Linked DNA regions of Pelodiscus sinensis. The protein of the gene in region 2 purifies or fractionates together with the protein of the main gene of each other region. This does not show direct contact. Links are inferred from orthologs where the notes say so. Each region holds a gene or a part of one and is shown on either strand. Other genes may lie near its edges.

Region 1 (10,692 bases), on a different chromosome or scaffold from region 2:
AATGTAAAATCATCCGTGCTTTTCTGGAAAAACTATGCTGCTCCTGTTCGGGCAAAAGTCTTTTTCCAGAAAACTGTTCCGGAAAAGGGCCAGTGTAGACAGCACAGTAGTGTTTTCCGCAAAAAAGCCCTAATTGTGAAAATGACGATCAGGGCCACGGATGCTTTTCCGGAAAAAGTGCTTTTGCGGAAAAGCATCCTTCCAATCTAGACGCGTTTTTCCGAAAATGCTTTTAACGGAAAACTTTTCCATTAAAAGCATTTCCGGAAAATCATGCCAGTGTAGATGTAGCCATAGACTTAGAGCACTACTTTTTTGTAATAAAAATATGCCATCCCAACAGTATCGCAAGATGTCAACAAAGAATTCTTAGCTTGCTTAAAGAACCTCTTATGGCATATCTATATTATATATAATCAATGCAATAAAAAAACCCAAACATTACCAAAACTTTCCATTTTTAAATAATATCTTATCAATGCACCATTACCTTAATTGAAAGACTATGGCATGCTATTGGGTGCTTGGCAAGCTAATTGGATATTCGCCATGGATATAGTTAAACTTGCTTTAACTGACCAATACAGAATTAAAGCTGAAGCTCCATTCTTAGGCTCCTTCCTGCTTTGCTTACACATGGCAACATACACTACATATAATATCACACAAAAGTGGCAGATCAAATGAGAGGACAGTATTTCCATAAGGATACTAAAGTCCCTGGTTTTTGCCAGTTTAAAGAAAAAAGGAACCTAGTTTTTTAGTCTAAAATTTTTTTTTGCAAGTTTTGTACCACCATAAAAACCCCAAACAAGAAAGGAATTTTCATTATTGCTTTGTATTATGTGTTGAAGCTTTATAGTAGACTCAGCTTATGCTTAGCTTAATACCTGTTCACATTGATAAAACTGAATACTTTTAAAATAAATTTCATTTTTGATTCAGAAATTTTTCAATAGTCAAACTTACTTTGGATTGTGTTCTTTTCTGATTTTTCATGCTAAACTTCTCCTTCATTTCCTCCAAAAGATGCTTCAGTTCTCTCTCTTCTGAAGTGCCTAAATATTTTTGGTTAACATGAAGATAACAATGCCATTTGGCTGATTCAAAGCCCCAGTGGCAGGTCCTCTTGTCAGGAGATCTATGTGAATGCATCACAAATGTCTGGGGTGAAAACATTCCATAGCACTCCAAACACTGAATACATGGAGCATCCGGCTGAATGTAAAATTGAGGTGCAAACAAACCCTGGCACTTGCCCAAGCACTCATGCTCTACCTCAAAGGCTCTGCCAGTCTCTTTCAGTTGGACCAATGTGTTTTTTGCAGGAAGCAGAGTGCCATTTTGAGGAAAAGTGCGAGGACGCAGTAAAGCATTGCATAGTCTTTGAGCATCAGTCAGTGTGATCAACCCACAGGATGGGGCATTAAATGGAAGGATTCCCAAAACCTTTAGGATATGAAGCTGGTCAGAAGTGCACCTCGAGCAGTATATATACAGTTCATCACACACTGTATTAATTTGCTGTAGTGAAAAATCTCGGAGCACTGAATTCAATACTTGAGGCAGACAGAGTCTCTTTTCCCCTCCAACTTTAAAACAAGAAATAGATTCTCCCTCCAATACAGTCTGAGTGAGCTCTGTAGAACTGTCTGAAGGAATGAGCAATGGGCTAGGAAGTATCTGTGGTGATGGAAGAGGCACAAAGACAGTGGGTGACATGCTTTCCTGGGAATAACGAGCTGAAAAAGCTGCTGGCCCACCCAGTGAACTCTGGCTGCTTAAATGGAACTGTGCCAATGTGTGTTTCAAACCAGGATTTAAATTCAAAGGCTCAGATATTGTAGTACTGTTTGGTTTGGCATTTTCTCCATCAGACTCCATGGGAGTTTCTTCATATTCATCCACATTTTCCTTTTTTATCGTTGGCAATTTATTTACTACAGCTTGTACTTTGCTATTTACATGCTTTTCTGTCATTATTTTTTTTACTGGTGGACTGCCATCTTCTTGGATCCCACACTCTTTTTGGTCAGAACCTGCACTTACAGGGAAATTTGTTTGTGGACTTTCCATCACTGAACCTCAGAATTTTAAATAAATAGGTTTGAAATGTGCATTTTTCTAGTATGTGTTTAATTTGTATTTCTTAAAGACACGCCAATTTCCAAGTACTTTAATTATCTCCTGTCCAGCAGATATTGTGCTATCTCCTTAAAGTGAGGATTTAATCTCACCTCAAGAGCTAAAAATGTAACCTATTTTTCATGTAGCATAAAATTCAAGGGTGGAAGGGTTAAGCAAGAGTTTTCTTTTGCACTTAAATATATGTGTTCAGTTCTTATATTAAAAAAAAAATCTGATTTTCATCAAATTTTTCTTTTAAAAAACATGCTGACTTTTCACTTCATATATGCTTCCATTTAAGTATTAAAATACAAAATCACTTGTTCTCAGACTGAGCAGCACTGGCGTTAATGCAATTCTTCCAAAAGATAATTTTAGTTGTGGGCATGCTTTATGCAGCACATCCCTTTCAACTCACAGGATCGAACACAGAGCTTAGTCACTTTATTTATTGTGCAGCCAAGTTTAAATCACACCTCCAGTGGTGGAGAAATGTATTATGGTAAATCTCTGTTAAGTCCACAAATTAAAGGCTGATCCAGGGTTGCTGGTAGAAACCAAACATCCCTGTAGAATAAGCATCAGTAAAAATTTCCCTAGCATCTGTCAGTTTTCCTATCTCAACTTATTGGCAATGAAAATAAGATCCAGGCCATATACGAGATTCATAGTTTGGACTAATAATACAAATCTCTGGCAATCCTTTTATATAACCTGTAAAAAAAGGAAAAAAATCAGTAATCATTCACATGTGAAGAGTAATACCTTTATCTAAAACAGTCCCTGAATCTTGAAATGTATTCAATATATCACAACTGGAATATGCTCCCTAAATAACTAACTCTTAACTAATTTGCAGAAAGCTTGGATTTAGATATCATAAACCCTATTATGACACATGCATAAACCTGGCACCAGCAGCATCAACATAACTCATTGAGAGTGCTGCAAACATGTGGCAAAGGAGACACATGGGGGAAATCACCTAATCCTTCACCCCATTCAATGCTTTGCAAACTCCAGGGACAGAATCCAGGAAAAAAAGTGTGTGGGGGGTTGTACTTTCAGAGATTGCAGGGCAAGAAAAGGATAAGGGGACAAACTAGCCCCCATTTCCTTGAATATATAACTGAAATTAAAGTATTTCTCCTAACTTCAATCTTCACACTTTTTACAGTTAGTGCAGTTCAAATAAATTCAACATACAGGTAATTAAAACTGAAAACAACCTAGACTCTTTCCCAAACCAGACACTAGGCAACACCCCTACTGCTATCTCTGAGCCAACCTCAGTCTATACGCATGTATTCTTCCAAAGCTCACTCGTTATATTCTCCCTGAAACTAAGGTCCTCCCTCTCCCGTGCTTTCCTCACACAGCGGCCCTCCCTGGAATAACCCCGACATTCACCACCATCCTGTCTCTCTCACACTCCACCCAGACTATGCCCCCCCCCCCCGTGACTCACCTCCACCTCAGTCACACTCAAGCATTACGCACGCTCTGATCGGACAGGACTCCGCCACATACAGGACTTACCCTTCCTCCTTCCACAGACACTCCAAATACTGAAGTGATCCCTCATTCAAACCTACCACTGACTCTTCCACCCCCCCCCCCACCCACACCCCGCCAATTCTCGCGTAGCCCCCGGTTCCCACTGCTCCCTGGCACCGACCCGCAACACAACTTCTCCTCGGACCAATCCACACACACATACACGCTCCCTACCCCCCCCCCCCCCAGGCTCCCCCTCCCCCACACACCCTACCACCCAGCTCTTCACATCACCCCAGGGGACACACACAGCCCACGCGCCTCCCGACCGGAAACAATTCCCTTCCTTCAGAGACTCCCCACATTACCCCCCCCCCGCTTGTGGGGTCACCCTCCCCCACAACGCCCCCCCCTTCCACTAAGCTCCATCCCCCACAGACAGTCCCCCAGCTGGGGAATACTGCTCCCTCCCACACAGACGCCTCTGGACTAACCCCTCCCCCCGCACAGACACTCTGCCCCCGCAGACAATCAGCCCCCCCCCCCCCCGTCTCCTCCCTGGATTTGTCCCCTTCCCCCCACAGACACTCCTACCCCTCTCATGAATAGCCTCCCCTCCCCCTCGCCGCCGCGCACGCTCTCCGTACCCCCCGCTGCACCGCCCCGCCGGCAGCAGGCCCCGGCTCCTCACCCTGCATCGTGGGGACCCCGACACCCCAACAGTGGAACAGAAGCCGCGCACGCACCGCCCACCCGTGACCTCACTGCGGAGACGGCGGCGCGCGGGCACCAACCCGGCGGGTGCGCGCCCCCGCCTCCAGCCCCGCCCACTGTCTGGGGTAGCGCCGCGGCGGCTGCCAGCGGCTTCCCCTCCCCCCAGGCACAGCGAAAGCTGGTGTCGCGTCGGGGGCGGAACCTCGCCTTCCTCCCCACACGGCGCCTCCCCCCCCCCCCCCGCCCGGACAGAGCCAGGCACGGAAGCGGGTCTACACATGACCTGCTCCTTCAGCCCCCCCTTCGGTCATTGACCCCAGGGGCCCCCACCCCTATGCAGCTTCCCCCCCCCCCCCACGATCCCATAGCGACCCCATCTTTGCCCCATGCTCCCTAACGCCAGGAGAGCCCCAGCCAGGTGCCTTCCACATAGACCATCCCCCACAGCGGCTCTCCACATTACACCAGCTGCGTCTTGCCTTACAACTCCCAACGAGCCCCCTTTTCCACAGCAAGCCCTGCCCCACTGACCCCCTCTTCCCACAGAGAAGCTCTGAGACCCACCTCAAAGCTATCCCGCTTCTCAGCCAGCCCTGCATCCACACGCAGGGGCCAGTGTGTCCCTTCCTCCTTGTGTTGGCCTCCAGAGTCAGTCTGTACAAAGGCCCCCATTGTGTCACACAAAGCTGATTCCTGCTTCACCATAGTGACTCTCCCCCTCCAGGGGTGAAAGTAACTTACATTTTTAGAGGTACTCTTTTATTGCCCCCCGGGGGGGGAGATCAGGGCAGGGGTGCAATATGACAGTATCCTTTAGAGAGGGCAGGAGGTGAGGGGGTGTGAGGCCCACCCCATTCCTATCCACACTGCTCCTTGCTGTTCCTTTAAGGGAGGGGAAAGCACACAGCATGTGTCACTCACTCCTTTGCCTCCTTCTCCTCCCCAGCCAGGAGGGACAGGAATGCAGCTGGATACTTGCTTCCTGGGAATCGTCTATACGGTAGCATTCCAAAATAACAAAGAGCACGTCTGCACTACAAACCTTTATTTCACAATAATGTCAAGCTGAGAACTTCTTACTCCAACTCCTGTAACCCTCATTTTAGGAGGAGTAAGGGAAGTTGAAGAAAGAGTGTTATTCCTTCAACTTCCTGCTATGGAGACAGCGCCTAAAGTTGAGTTAAGCTATTTTGACTTAAACTACACAGTTGACGTAGCTGAAGTTACATAGCTTAAGTCGACATTAGCCATGCTGTATAGACATACCCTGAGAGTGAGGGAAGTAGAACAAAGCCCCTGCCCTGTCCCTAAAGGGTGCAGAAAGGGAGGGTTTTCTGGTTTCCTGCTGCTTACTATAGCAATCTAAAGGAGAGCCAGGGGAACCCAGCTGGACATGCACCCTCCAGTCCAGCAGCCCAGACAGCTTTTTCTGGAGCAGAGCACTGAGGTACACCGCCTTACTTTCACCTCTGCTCCCCACCCAGCAAACTTCCCTTGAACTCCTAAACAAAGCCCATCTCCCTCTCCACTGCTCATGGCGACCTCTCTGATACCCTTCCAGGGCCCTCCACCAAAAAGACTGCCCTCCTTCCCAAACATGTACAATGCAAAACCCCCTTTCCTCCATTTTGAGACAAAGATGGAGACCTGGGTGAAGGGTTGGAATCTGGGGGTGTTATAGCTGGGGTAAAGGAGAGAAGAGACAACACACTTCCCACCCTGCCAGCCCCCTGCCACCAGCCCCAGCTGGGGCTGCATTCCTCACTCCAACAGCCCCACTGCCAGCTGTCCCAACCCCGCTGCTAGCTCACCACTGCACCAGCCTGGGCTGTGCTCCCAGCGACCCGCCTGGCAAGGGCTCCTGACCACCAAACCTGCTGCCGCTGGTCAGGGCTTTGCTCCTGACCCTGGCTGCCTTTGCTCCCAGATGCGCTGTTTGGTCCAACAATATCCATGTCCTACCAGACCAGAAAGCACAGGATTTCAGAGGTTCAACCTGTACAAACAACCAAAAGAGGAAGAGGAGGTGGATGAGGATTTTTATAAACAACTAACAAAATGATACAAAGCACAGGACTTGGTGGTGATGGTGGACTTTAACTACGTAGACATCTATTGGGAAAATAACACAGGAGAGCATAGATTATCCAACCAAATTCTTGGACTGTATTGGAGACAATTATTATTACACAAAGTGGAGAAAGCCACAAAGGGAGACGTTCTAGATTTGATTTTCACAAATAATGAAGTATTTATAGAGAATTTTAAAGTGGAAGGCAACTTGGGTGAAAGCAATCATGAAATGATAGCATTCATGATTATAAGGAATGATAAAAGGGAAAACATCACCATAAAGAAAATGGATTTCAAGAAAGCAGACTTATAGCAAAATCAGGGATTGGTAGGTAAGATCCATTGGGAAGCAAGTTTAACAGGGGAAAAAAGTTGAAGTCAGTTGGTAGTTTTTCAAAGAGATATTGTTAGGGGCACACGAACAAATTATAGGAAAGATAGGAAGTACAGAAAGAGACTGTCTTGGCTTAACCAGAAGATATTCAGTTAACTGAAACTCAATAAAAGAATCCCACAAACGGTGAAAACTAGGTCATAGAATCAAAGAATCATAGGGTTGGAAGAGACCTCAGGAGGTCATCAAGTCCAAACCCAAATAGACTCTACACCACCAGAAATAAAACCTGTTTCCATCTTTTGTGACTTTCAGTTAGATGTGACTCACTATCCTCTGCTTAGTGTTCAAGTTATGGTAGACCCTAAGCCAGGTCATATTAAGTTCAGGTCTTTAATCTTTTAATCATACAATATGGATAACAACATTTCATTCTCCCAGCTCCAAGTCTTAAGTGAATTTCAACCCAAAAGAGCCAGAATTGATCACCTTGACACAGGTGGACTGTGTCTACACTGGCAAGTTTTTCCGGAAAATCAGCCGCTTTTCTGGAAAAACTTGCCAGCTGTCTACACTGGCTGCTTGATTTTCTGGAAAAGCAATGACGATCTACTGTAAGAAATCAGCCGCTTTTCCAGAAAAGCTTTGCCGCTCCCGTTCGGGCAAAAGTCCTTTTTCCGGAAAACTGTTCCGGAAAAGGGCCAGTGTAGACAGCTAGCTACCGCTTTTCCGAAAAAACAGAAGAAACGGAAAAAAGCGGTTTGGACGCCTGGAGACCCCGTAGGAGCCCTGGACTTCCTGGTAACCCAAGCTCTTAAAGCAGTCGCAGGCTGCTGAGCGCACGTGGCAGAAGCGGGCCTCAGGCCTGCCACTGAGCTCTGCCACAGCGCCCCTGTCCTGCCCAGCCAAGCCTCACAAGCCAGCCATGGCAGCTCCTGGTGGTGAGCCCCCTGCACTCCCAGCTCAGGAGGCCCCCAGAGGCCGCAAAAGGCGGGCTCCCTCTGGACCCCCAGGGAGCTGGAGATCCTCCTGGACCTCTGGCAGGAGGAGGATGGTCTCCATGACATCCGGTCCTGGCGCCGGAATGTCGACATCTTTGTCCGGATGGCCGAGGCTCTGACCCAACAGGGATACCCTGCCCGGAACAGCGAGCGAATCCAGGCAAAAGTTAAGGAGCTCCAGCTGGGGTACGTGCGGGCCAGCAAGGGCAGGGGGGCAGGACCAGACACCTGCCCCCATTACGACTGGCTGCATGCCATCCTTGGGCAGCCAGCCCTGCAAGGCCCGGACGTGCCCGTGGACACCTGCCAGCGCCCCCCCCCCCGTCATCCGAAACACTGAGGCAGGGGAAGGAGAGAACAGTGGTGGCGCTTCAGGAGAGGAGGCCAGCGTTGCCATCCAGCAGGCCCCCTCCAGCAGCTCCTCCTCCGGGGAAGGATCCACTGGTGAGTCTTTGCAGTTTGCACTCACAAGGGCGGAGGGCGGAGGGCGGGGGGGGGGGGGGGGGGGGCGAGAGCCAGGCACCTGGAGTGGGGAGGGGGAGAGCATGCCACTCAGGCCACGTGAGTTGCATGCTGTGTAGCATTAGGCAGCAAGCAGCACGTGCAACCACATGCAGCCTGGTGACCAAGCAGCACGTGGCCGCAGCAGGCAGCTGCAGGGCACGCCTAGGACTGTGCTGCTCACACACATTCGGCGAGACCAGGGGAAAGGGTGGATGCCAGCTGGAATCAGCCAAGGCCCCAGGGACTCAGCCCAGAGCCCTCACCTCCGCCAAGGGTGCAGCACAGAGAACTGCACACTGTCCCATGCCTGGCTGTGAGGCACAGCCAGCTGCTCTTGGGTACACCGCAGCATCACAGTCCTGTGAGCGTGGCCCCCACCGAGCCCCTCACTTGCTCCCGGTGCCTTGGCTGACTCCCCGAGGGAAGTCCCCACTGTGGCTACACATGTCCCTGGGCTACCGGGGTTGTGGGAGGGATAGTGGGAGGGAGAAGGCCCGCCCTGAGTTTTGCTGCAAGGATGGGACACCCCCTTTCCCCAGTCACTCTTCTGGTTCCGCCCAGGAGATATCCCACACGATGGGATCTGAGAGCCCAGACCACCTCTGCCAGATGTGCTCCCAGGCACTGTGTGGGGATGCATCTCGCTCCCTGTCAAACACCAGTGATTAGCCCAAAGCTTCAGTCTCCACCAGCAGGGAGTTCCACAGGTGAACGCAACACAAGCACCCTCCCGCCCTCCACGGGGCCAGGACACAGACCGGTGGTTACAATACTGGAGGAGGGCCCTACTCCAGGGGCGGTCCTCCTTGCAAACATACAACACAGGGGGCAGGAGGGGAACCAAGTGGGCCCAAGCCACACAACTGTGGGGTCACCTGGGCTCAGGGGTGGAGGGCATGAGGTGTGGGGGGGGTGGAGGGCCTGCCTGACTGACCCATCCTTTCTTCTCTTCCCTACAGCGGGACCGAACACAAGACCCTCCAGTCCAGCAGCAGAGGCACCCCCAGCTGGCCAACCCCGGAGGCGCTGGCTCCGACACCAGGACCAGCTGCTTCGCCGCCACATTGTAGCGGTGGAGGCAATCCAGGCCTCCATTCGCGAGCGTGTGCAGGGGGACCTGCAGTGGCGGCAGGCGGCCTGGGGTGCCTTCCAGGCACAGTGTACAAGGATGGCCGACTACATGGCCATCCTCACTACACACTTTGTGCACGCCGTACATTATAGCATGGCTGTACCCCATGCCCCCTCCTGCCCCTGCAATGGCCCCTGCTCCTATCCCAGCTCCTGCCCCTGCTCCTGCCCACCTCCCTGTGCGGCCTGCCCCGCATGTGCAGGTCTGCCCCCGAAGGAACGCTCGCAGGGGCCACCCGTCCCAGTAGCTCCTCCCCCTCCCCGTCCCAGTTGAAGGTCTCCTCCCCCTCCCCCTTGTAAATAAAAAGTCTATTTTTCAGTTGATTCTTGTGTGGTTATTGTGTTACTCGAGGTAACTGTAAGAAATGCTTTGAGATGCCAATTAGCCACCTAAATTTAAAAGGGTTACAAACTGTGGACACCAAATTCTGTATTCTGTCACCGGGGGTCCTTTTTAAGTGGCCATTGGTTTGTGGTTCATAAATAAATACTGAGACTTTTCAGTAAAATTTAAACCACAAACTATATTTAACACAGATAACAAACAAGCAAGAAAGGTTAAAAGACGCACACTAAAGATTATGTAAACATAGTCTAGGCGCAGGGAGGATGATTGGTAGTGTTGCTGGCAAACTCAATCCTTTGGTCCTTCCGGGCCTTGGGAGAGGAACAGCCAGGAGATCCCTCAAAGATGACTGGAATCAGGTACGCTGACTTGAGCCTTCCGCACGAACCCTGAATCCTCTTCCCTGTTCTTCGGGACAGGCAATGGTGGCCTAAACCCTAGCCTAAACTAAAAAGAAAAACCCTAACTACGTCCGACGCACCCGACGAACAATCACGATGACGGCCGATGTGCTTGGAACCAACGCTTTACAATTGGGGGGAGATAAGGGGAGGGGGTGGAGAAGAGTATGGGATGGGAGGGAGTCGTCTGGGGAGACCCAGGTGACCCTACTACGGGGCTTGGGCGAACATGTCCACCAGGGCCTCTCTGATGCGCACCCCATCCTGGCGCACCTGGTGGACGGCAGCTGTGTGGGGCTGTGCGAACGTCTGTGCCTCGGCTGCCATCCATGCAGGGAGGAATGCCTCCCCACAGCGCTCCACAATGTTGTGGAGCACGCAGCACACAGCCAGTATCTCTGTTGCATTCTGCTCAACCATCTCGAGACAGGTGAGCAAACAACAGAAGTGGGCTTTCAAACGTCCGAGGGTGAGCTCCACCGGATTTCGGGCCCGGTTGAGGCGGTCATTGAACCGTGCCCAGTTCTGGTCCAGCCGCCCCGTGTAGGGCCGCATTAGCCAGGG
Region 2 (10,042 bases):
AACTATCAAGACCCACAAGTCTTCAAGTAGTTGCTCATGGTAGGCTAGCAAGCCATATGGACTGCAGAATTATATACGAAAGGAAAGGAACTTCTGAAAAAGTGTAGCATGTAGGAATGCATGTCCACAATATCTAGCCTTCTGGTTTTACTCAACTGATAGGCAACCTGCTGAGCTGATGGAAGTTTTACCACATAATATTGCACACTGTCCTCCACCGCTTCCAATAGGGCTCTGTACATTCTTGCCCATGTGGCTGATGCATTTTCAGAGCCATTCAGAGGCATGGATTTAGATACCCTTAGCCAAACGAACCACAGTACTGGATACAGGCAGTCCCCGGGTTACGTACAAGATAGGGGCTGTAGGTTTGTTCTTAAGTTGAATCTGTATGTAAGTCAGAACTGGCATCAGCCGCTGCTGAAACTGATCAGTTTCAACTGGGGCTGAATCTGGATGCCAGTTCTGACTTACATACAGATTCAACTTAAGAAACCCAGGCGTCCCCAAGTCAGCTGCTGCTGAAACTGATCAGCGGCTGATTCCAGGAAGCCTGGGGCAGAGCAACTCTGCCTCGGGCTTCCTGTAGTCAGCCACTGGTCAGTTTCAGCAGCAGCTGACTTGGGGACCCCTGGGGCAGAGCAGCTGGGGTGCTGCTGGGTTGCTCCGCGGCTCCTTGGCGCTACTGGAGCAATCCAGCAACACCCCAGCTGCTGTGCCCCAGGCGTCCTGATTCAGCCGCTGCTGAAACTGACCAGCAGCGGCTGAATCAGGACGCCTGGGGCAGAGCAGCTGGGGTGCTGCCAGGTTGGTCCGGAGCGGCGCTGCGGGACCAACCCGGCAGCCCCCAGCTGCTCTACCCCAAGGGTAGGCAAGAAAAGCCTGGTCTGCTGGGGGGGGCACTAGCTGCACCCCCGCCCCTCCCAGCAGACCAGGGAGACGGGGGTGGCGGGACCGCCCAAGTCCTCCACGGCTTTGCTCCGTCTCCCTGGTCTGCTGACCTGGGAGACGTGGAGCAAAGCCGCAGAGCACGCGGGCAGCGGGACAGTCCAGGCGCACCGCGGCTGTCCCACTGCTTGCGTGCTCCGAGGCTTTGCTCGGGTGTCCCTGGTCTGCTGGGGGGGTCCAGCGGCTTTGCTGGACCCCCCCAGCAGACCAGGGAGACCGGGAGAAGCTTTTCTCGCCCCAGAGGACACGGGTGGCGACTCGCCGCCCGTGAGCTCCGGGGCGAGAAAATCCCAGTTTGTAAGTGCGGATCCGACGTAAGTCGGGGACTGCCTGTATTTATACATCTCAATTTACACATCAGTTATGCATCTAAGTTGCCCCAAACAGTTATAAAGCCTTTTACACCTGCACAAAATATGAGTGTTCTTCAAGAGAATTGGAATGTATTTTCCAGCCTCAATTATTTTCTGCAGAAATTACTCTTTACTAATTCTCTACACTTGTTTAGCTGGGCATGCTATTGTTAAAGCATGCAACATTTGGCTTAATATTCTACATCCTTTATTAGTGTACATTCTCTATAGTACGGAAAATGTAGACTCTAGGCTCAGCAAAAGACCATCAGGTGTGTCAGAATCCTCCAAATAGCATTTTCAAAGTACAGTTAATCACCTTTCATTTTAAGATGGACCACCTGATACCATGTTCTACAACATCTGATGAGTTCTCTATACTTTTCCTGCAATCCAAAGAAAAATTCAAGATGTGTACTCAACAAGAGCACACAACAGAGAATGCACAAGTTCAGCTCTTATTCACATAATCATGAGACACATGTATAATGTACAGAACAGGCAAGGTTAAAAGGTGGACCAGTTGGCAAAGTGTGAACTACTGTATTCATCAGTTTATACTGCAGATCAGAGGATCTCAAACTTTCCAACCTACTGTACTCTCTTCCAGAGCCTGATTTGTTTGTGTCTCCCCCAAGTTTCATCTTACTTACAAAATCAGACACACACATAATCAGGCAAACTTACAGAACATTAGTACAAAAAATTGCTTGTTTTCTCATTTTTACCATACCATTATAAAAAAGATCAAGTGGAATATAAATATTGGTCTGTATTTATATTTCAGTGTATAGTATAACACTGGAAATGAAATTTTACTTTGTACTGATTCTACTAGTGCTTTTCACATAGCCTGTTGATATACTGTCTTTGTGTAAACCCAGAAGTACACATACCTTGGCTGAAAACCACTGCTTTGTCAACCATATGTGCATAGCTGAAGCTCTGAACCTAACTGTGTACACATACCATGTGCACATCACATACAAATATTTATGGGTGTTTCTAACCTAAGGTCGTTAATACATGCCAAAAGTACTCATTGATGACTAAGGCCAAACCAAGTTTTATTAAAAGGAGCAGCAGCAGCAATTTGATTTGTAAACAGAAATGTCTGAAATGTTTCAGTCATGAAAAGAATGACACTGTTATTGTTACGTATAGATGAAGATAAATAGCATTTTACAAAGAGCTCCATTTAGGTTAATTAGATTTCACCTAAGTAAGCAATATTTTTAACAGTTGTAAAACTGGAAAACGGGCCTCAAGTAAGTGTTCCCCAGATTGGTTAAAAAGAACATTAACCAATGCTTTCTGTGTGATGGTACTACATACCTCCAGACACAGTACCAGCACCTCCAGGCAGAGCTCAACAACTTTTCCCGTGGAGTACTGGTACTTTTTTTTTAAAATACACAAAAAAGCACTGACACTAACCAAAATACCACTTTAAAAGCAGTTTTTACAAATAGTTAAGTTAAATATCTAAAACCAGAAAATTTCAAAACATGACAAAATTCAATTTTAATCAAGTTTAGAAATAAATCCCATTGTTTATCCCAATGTTAATGGAGCATGAAGATATTACACCATCGGACACAGCATCATTTAATGTGAGCATGTAAATTTTTCTAGCCAGAAACCAAATAATAATCTGGATTCAAATGAAGTTAACTTCTTCAAATTGCTACTTGACATTCATATTATAAACTTCCAGAGACAAAACTCTTTGAGGGCATGTCTACATTAGGAAATTATTTTGAAATAAGAAAATTTGAAATTAGTCCTGAAATAACAAAATCGAAATAATGTGTCCCCTATTTAAGGGAGCTTTGAAACTAGTCCAAGGCAAGCTCCATGAATGGGGATGCTCTACCTCAACTTAGAGCCCCAGGAAAGCACAGGGGAGTAATTACTTTGAATTTTCTTAAAAAAACAACAACAAATAGTCTGGTAGCATTTTAAAGACGCACAAAACATGTAGACGGTATCATGAGCTTTCGTGGGCACAGCCCACTTCTTCAGATCATCTCTGGAGAAGTGGGCTGTGCCCACGAAAGCTCATGATACCCTCTGATACTGTCTACATGTTTTGAGAGTCTTTAAAGTGCTACCAGACTATTTGTTATTTTTTTAAGTTTACCCTGTACAAACTAACTTGGCTATCCCCGAAGCTTACTTTGAATTAGTCTGGGGAGTAGTTATTTCGAAATAGCAGCAGTGGAGTGTCCACACTACCACAATTTCAAAATAGTTATTTCAAAATAAGCGTTATTCCCCAAGGAAAGCAGAAGTTCAGATTTTGAATAACCAGCCCACTATTTAGAAATAAAGGGCTTGGTAATGTGGACTTGCTGCTCATTATTTTGAAATAACCGAGACTCCCTAGTGCAGACCGGAGCGGAGAAGACTTGCCAACAAAGTTCTCAGTTCTAACAAGGGCAAGACCGTCACCTTGCCGGGCCGCGCGTCGGGTGCGCTGTGGCGCAGGCAGCTACAGGCCCCTCACACGCAGCGCTGCGCGGGGCAGAGGCTCCGCGCTGACCGTTCCCTGCCGCGCAAGATGGCAGCGCCGGCCTGAGGGCTCGCGCCAGGCCTCACCTTGCTGGATGTCGCCGTTGGCGCCGCCCGGCACGGGCACGCTGAGCTGGCGCTCGGGCTCGGGCAGGCAGCGGCGGCAGAAGGAGTGCAGGCAGGGCAGCAGCTTGGGCTCGGCCTCGCGCCGGCTCTGCAGGCTCTGCGCGCACACGGCGCAGGTGTCCAGCAGCGACAGCGGGCCCGGCGCGGCCGCCGGCAGGGGGGGCACCGGGCTCGGGCCCGGGCCCGCCGCGGCCTCCGCCTCCGCCTCGGCCGGGCCCTTCTCGGCCGCCGCGCCGGGGCTCTCGCGCTCCTCGGGCGGGGCGGCCGCGGGCGCGAGCGGGGCGGGGCCGGGGGGGGACGCGGCCGCGGGCTCCTGGCCGACCGGGCCGGGATCCGCGGCCCCCTCCCCGCCGCCTCCTTTGTTTTCCGCCATGTTTCCTCCTTTGAACCCGACTCCCCGCTCCGCGCACGCACCGCGCCGCGCCTGCGCCCGCACGCCCCGCGTCACCGGGCTCCCCGCACGCGCTGCGGGCTCGTGCCCGCCAGCTACGCGGCAGGCGGCGGAGGGGCGGGGCTGAGCACGTGCCGGGCCGAGCCGCCGCGGCAAAGGGGACGCGCGCGGCGGGGTCCTGTGGAGCGGCGGCGCATGCGCGTGCACGTGAAGCTCCGCCCTGAGTGGAGCCAGAGCTGCTGCGCCGCCGGGAGGGAAGGGGCGGGGCTTCCTTGCGACTTCGCCAGGCTCGCGCTGCAGCTCGACGCCCGACTGGCTGCGCCGTGGGCTGCGCTAGGGGCCGCCGCCAATCAGCTTCCAAGCGGCCGAGCCACGGCAGCCAACTGCCACTGCGGGGAGCGTGATAGGCAGCGGCACGGCCCACTCCTGGGGGGGAACCTTTCTCACCCCTCCGCCAGTGCCAGGGGCTGACGGCCAGGCAGGGGTACAAAACCAAGGCCCCTTGCCCCGCCCCCATCGCTCATTTGCACAGGGGTGGGGCTGGGCAGGACTTTCAGGGTGCAGGTAGCCCCCCCCAGCAGCAGGCCCTGTGGCTCCAGGCATGGGCAGGCCCCCCTGCTCCCATTGGCCCTGATTCCAGCCAATGGGATCAGTGGAGTCCATGCAGGGGGGGCACCCCCTGCCTGGGAGCCTGCCAGCCCAGCCACAGAGACTTGGAGCTGCCCGGAGCCCCCCGGGGCCGCTGGGAACCAGGCCAAGCTGTGCACCGAGCCTGCGTGAGCGAGGCCCAGCGCTGGGGGCACAAGGGGCTCTGTGCGCTGGCCTGTCCATGGTGCGTGTTGCTCTCCACTCAAGCCTGTCCATTCCCGGGGGGCTTCTCCACTGGGGGGTCTCTCTGCACTCAGGCCTGTCTACGGGATTAGGAGTCTTTCTTTCCTTGGCTGCCCACAGACATCTCTTGCCCAGCCCCAGCCATAGCAGGCTCAACTCCTTTGACAGCAGATGGAACAAAGCAGCTCCGTGGTGTCCATAAGCATCAACAAGAGTGGCCTGAGGGATAAGTTCACAACAAAGTTTGACTAAGCTGCAGCCCGTCTGCCAGGTGTTTGGGGCTTTCAGCTCAATGCATGGGGGCTAATGGCATTACACTGAGGACCTGGTTTGTCTCTGTCAATGAACCAAATAGGGGTATAGCTATATTTGTTTTCACTGCCTGCAAACACTTACTAGTCAAACACCAAGAAAAGAAACCAAACAGCCCAATCTACAGCATCCCACTGTTGTCTCTCTCTCAGCTAGGTGACCCACTGGCAATGCAATTCATGTTGCCCTGCCTGCAGTGACCCATGTAGTTCATGACTAACCCTTACTATAGTGATTCCCAACCTTTTTCCCATGGAGGAACCCCTAAAATAATTTTTCAAATCCCGAGGAACCCGTACCTATGAAAACATTTGCTTGGCCAGAAAAAGTTGACAGCGGGGAGCACAATTCAATCACTGCTAATTTTTTTCAAGAACATTTATTTGTAAAGAGCTGTTGTGCGTCTGAGCTTACATTGTAAGAAAAAAAACTGGAGTATTTTTCCTGTCTTTTTTTGTATTATCTAATTTTTTTTTCAAATATCAAATATCCTCCCCCTCCTGCCTCACTCTCTCTCCTCTCCTCCCACTCCTGCCTCTCACTCACGGAGCCCAAATGGCTGCTTGCTCCCACACAGCAGCCCACCTGAGCAGCGCAGAAGTCAATCAAGCAGGAGAGGAAGGGCAACACAGATGCTCCAGGCCCCGCCCAGCGTTATTTATTCCACGATTTCTCACGGAACCCCTGATGATGGTCTGCGGAACCCCGGTTGGGAAACCGGGCTTGAATGCAAAGGAACAGACAGAACCATTATCCTCTCTACCCCCTGAATCATGAACCAGCAGTGCAGAGGAATGGTACAATTTAAAAGTTGCCTCTTATTCACTCATTAAAAAATTATAGGCAAGGTCTTTCTATTTGGATCTTTCACTTATCAAAGGAATCAGTTGAGGGCCAATTACAGGCCAAGACATGTATTGATTTGTGAATCTTACAAACCCAAATAAGCTTAGCAGAGAGTAGAAAAATGACAGTTCCTCTGAAACAGTTGCTCATACATTTGTCTTGGCCTTGTATTTGCCTGAAACCTAAAAGGTTTCATTTTGTACAGAATGATAAATAGCGTGAACTACTAGAAGTCATAAGAACGGCTGTACTGGGTCAGACCAAAGGTCCTTCTAGCCCAGTATCCTGTCTACCAACAGTGGCCAACACCAGGTGCCCCAGAGAGGGTGGACCGAAGACAATGATCAAGCGATTTGTCTCCAGCCATCCTTCTCCAGCCTCTGACAGACAGAGGCCAAGGACACCATTTTATCCCCTGGCTAATAACCTTTTATGGACCTAACCTCCATGAAATTATCTAGCTTCTCTTTAAACTCTGTTATAGTCCTAGCCTTCACAGCCTCCTCTGGCAAGGAGTTCCACAGGTTGACTACACGCTGTGTGAAGAACTTTCTTTTATTAGTTTTAAACCTGCTACCCATTAATTTCATTTGGTGTCCTCTAGTTCTTCTATTATGGGAACTAATAAATAACTTTTCTTTATTCACCCTCTCCACACCACTCATGATTTTATAGACCTCTATCATATCCCCCCTCAGTCTCCTCTTTTCTAAACTGAAAAGTTCCAGTTGCTTTAACCTCTCCTTATATGGGACCCGTTCCAAACCCCTAATCATCTTAGTTGCCCTTTTCTGAACCCTTTCCAAGGCCAAAATATCTTTTTTGAGGTGAGGAGACCACATCTGTACACAGTATTCAACCATAGTTTTATACAGGGGCAGTAAGATATTCTGCGTCTTATTTTCTATCCCTTTCCTAATAATTCCTAGCATCCTATTTGCCTTTTTGACCGCCGCTGCACACTGTGTGGAAGTTTTCAGGGAACTATCCACGATAACACCAAGATCTCTTTCCTGATTTGTCGTAGCCAAATTAGCCCTCATCATACTGTACATATCGTTGGGATTATTTTTCCCAATGTGTATTACTTTACACTTATCCACATTAAATTTCATTTGCCATTTTGCTGCCCAATCACTGAGTTTGGTGAGATCTTCTTGGAGTCCCTCACAGTCTGCTTCTGTCTTGACTATCCTAAACAGTTTGGTATCATCCGCAAACTTTACTACCTCACTGCTTACCCCTTTCTCCAGATCATTTATGAATAAGTTGAAAAGGATTGGTCCCAGAACTGACCCTTGGGGGACACCACTAGTTACCCCTCTCCAATCTGAAAATTTACCATTTATTCCTACCCTTTGCTTCCTGTCTTTTAACCAGTTCGCAATCCAAGAAAGGACCTTCCCTCTTATCCCATGGCCATGTAATTTACACAAGAGCCTTTGGTGAGGGACCTTGTCAGAGGGACCTTGTCAAAGGCTTTCTGAAAATCCAAGTATACTATATCTACTGGATCCCCCTTATCCGCATGCTTGTTAACCCCTTCAAAGAACTCTAATAGATTAGTAAGACAGGATTTCCCTTTACAGAAACCATGTTGACTTTTGTCCAACAAATTATGTTCTTCTACATGCTGCACAATTTTATTCTTTACTATTGTTTCGACTAATTTGACCAACTCCTTATTTCTTATAAATTACCTCATCGGAAACATATTACTTGCTGATAGATTACAGGATATTTTTTCATTTGCATTTTGTACTAATAATTTTAAGTCAAATCACAGTAATTTCCTTCTTCCTTTTCAGGTTATACTGTTAAGACACCTAGCTTATGTGCTCATTTGATTAACACTTAACCTACTGAAAACCACTATTGTCTGCAGTGAATGAATGAATAAATAAATACTAATTGGTTAAGAATAAGCAAAAACCTGCTTTTAAGATTACTATCTGGAGTTCCAAAAAATAATTTACTAAATGAGCATAGCATTGAAATTGTGAGTTGTGATCCTTAATCTCTGAACCACATGATGGGAATTAAAAATTAGTTTAGATTAACTCAAAACTGTTAAATTTAGGACCAACACTATAGATTGTTGCCCAGTTCCTTCCTGCTTTTATCTCATTTTTCACATACCCATCCAGTGTTTCATATTCTTCATCAGCTGTCTGCCTTTTGTTTTCCCCAGGGGACTGGTTCAGATTAAGTTTTTCCTTACTTCCTAAAAGTGGATGTGGGTGTACTGCCCTTCTAGCCAGCAGCCTGAACCTACATAAATATTGATATTATGAACAGGCTTTGGTGACAGGTTGTGTTGCTGTTCACTTTTAAATAGACAAAGTATATAGTTATTTCATTACATAATATCTTCCTGCTGCACATTAACAGCAACACAAATGGCACAATCACACAGAAGACAGAAAATTAAAGAACAACTTTCATGGACTATGAAAGGGGTAAACAGTGAGGTGGCAAAGTTTGCAGACGAGACTACACTGCTCAAGGTAGTTAAGACCAAAGATGACTGTGAAGAACTTCAAAAAGATCTCACCAAACTAAGTGACTGGGCAACAAAATGAAAATGAAATTTAATATGGATAAATGTAAAGTAATGAACATTGGAAAAAAATAACCAACTATACATATAATATGAAGGGGGCTAATTTAGCTACAACTAATCAAGAAACAGATCTTGGAGTCATCATGGATAGTTCTCTGAAGACGTCCATTCAGTGGACAGCGGCAGTCAAAAAAGTTATTAAAAAAGGGATAGAGAATAAGACGGAGAATATCTTATTGCCCTTATATAAATCCATGGTACGCCCACATCTTGAATACTGCGTACAAATGTGGTCTCCTCATCTCAAAAAAGATATACTGGCATTAGAAAAGGTTCAGAGAAGGGCAACTAAAATGATTAGGGGTTTGGAACGGGTCCCCTATGAGGAGAGGTTAAAGCGACTGGGACTTTTCAGTTTAGAAAAGAGGAGACCGAGGGGGGATATGATAGAGGTCTATAAAATCATGACTGGTGTGGAGAGGGCTGATAAAGAAAAGTTATTTACTTGTTCCCTTAATATAAGAACTAGGGGTCACCAAATGAAACTAATGGGCAGCAGGTTTAAAACAAATAAAAGGAAGTTCTTCTTCACACAGTGCGTAATCAATCTGTGGAACTCCTTGCCTGAGGAGGTTGTGAAGGCTAGGACTAGAACAGGGTTTAAAAGAGAACTCGATAAATACATGGAAGTTAAGTCCATAAATGGCTATTAGCCAGAATGGGTAAGGAATGGTGTCCCTAGCCTCTGTCTGTCAGAGGGTGGCGATGGATGGCAGGAGAGAGATCGCTTGATCATTACCTGTTCGATTCACTCCCTCTGGGACACCTGGCATTGGCCACTGTCGGCAGACAGGGTACTGGGCTGGATGGACCTTTGATCTGACCCAGTATTGCCGTTCTTATGTTCTAACAAGCCTCTTGGACAAGTGCACCCTCCCTAAGTGGTAACCTGAGTCTCTCCTCATGATCCTTAAGGGTTCGTGGCAGGAAATTCTTGCAAAGGCAGCACCTTCTTTCTGGTGACCCTCACCCAAACTCTTCAAACATGTGTAGAGTCACTTTTGGGCATAAGACTGCTGCAAGCCTGGCAAGATTAAAACCCCGGAGAATGAGGCGTGCACCCTGGTATGGGGGAAAAGAGGGGAAGGGAGAATTACT

The links.
Region 1: the proteins of TRIM33 (region 2) and SKIL purify together in Homo sapiens (affinity purification with western blotting; 4 studies listed by BioGRID and IntAct, with this or other methods). This does not show direct contact. The link is inferred for Pelodiscus sinensis from reciprocal best matches to the Homo sapiens genes TRIM33 and SKIL.

The regions. Positions count from the first base shown.
Region 1 is NC_134720.1:38,847,755-38,858,446, reverse strand, and holds the start of SKIL (ski-like protein), read right to left. Parts: upstream 4,458-10,692; 5' UTR 4,316-4,457; intron 3,733-4,315; exon of another isoform or gene 3,667-3,732; intron 2,842-3,666; 5' UTR 2,077-2,841; coding exon 970-2,076; intron 1-969. UniProt on the Homo sapiens protein: May have regulatory role in cell division or differentiation in response to extracellular signals.
Region 2 is NC_134737.1:760,906-770,947, reverse strand, and holds the start of TRIM33 (E3 ubiquitin-protein ligase TRIM33), read right to left. Parts: upstream 4,467-10,042; 5' UTR 4,315-4,466; coding exon 3,903-4,314; intron 1-3,902. UniProt on the Homo sapiens protein: Acts as an E3 ubiquitin-protein ligase. Promotes SMAD4 ubiquitination, nuclear exclusion and degradation via the ubiquitin proteasome pathway. According to PubMed:16751102, does not promote a decrease in the level of endogenous SMAD4.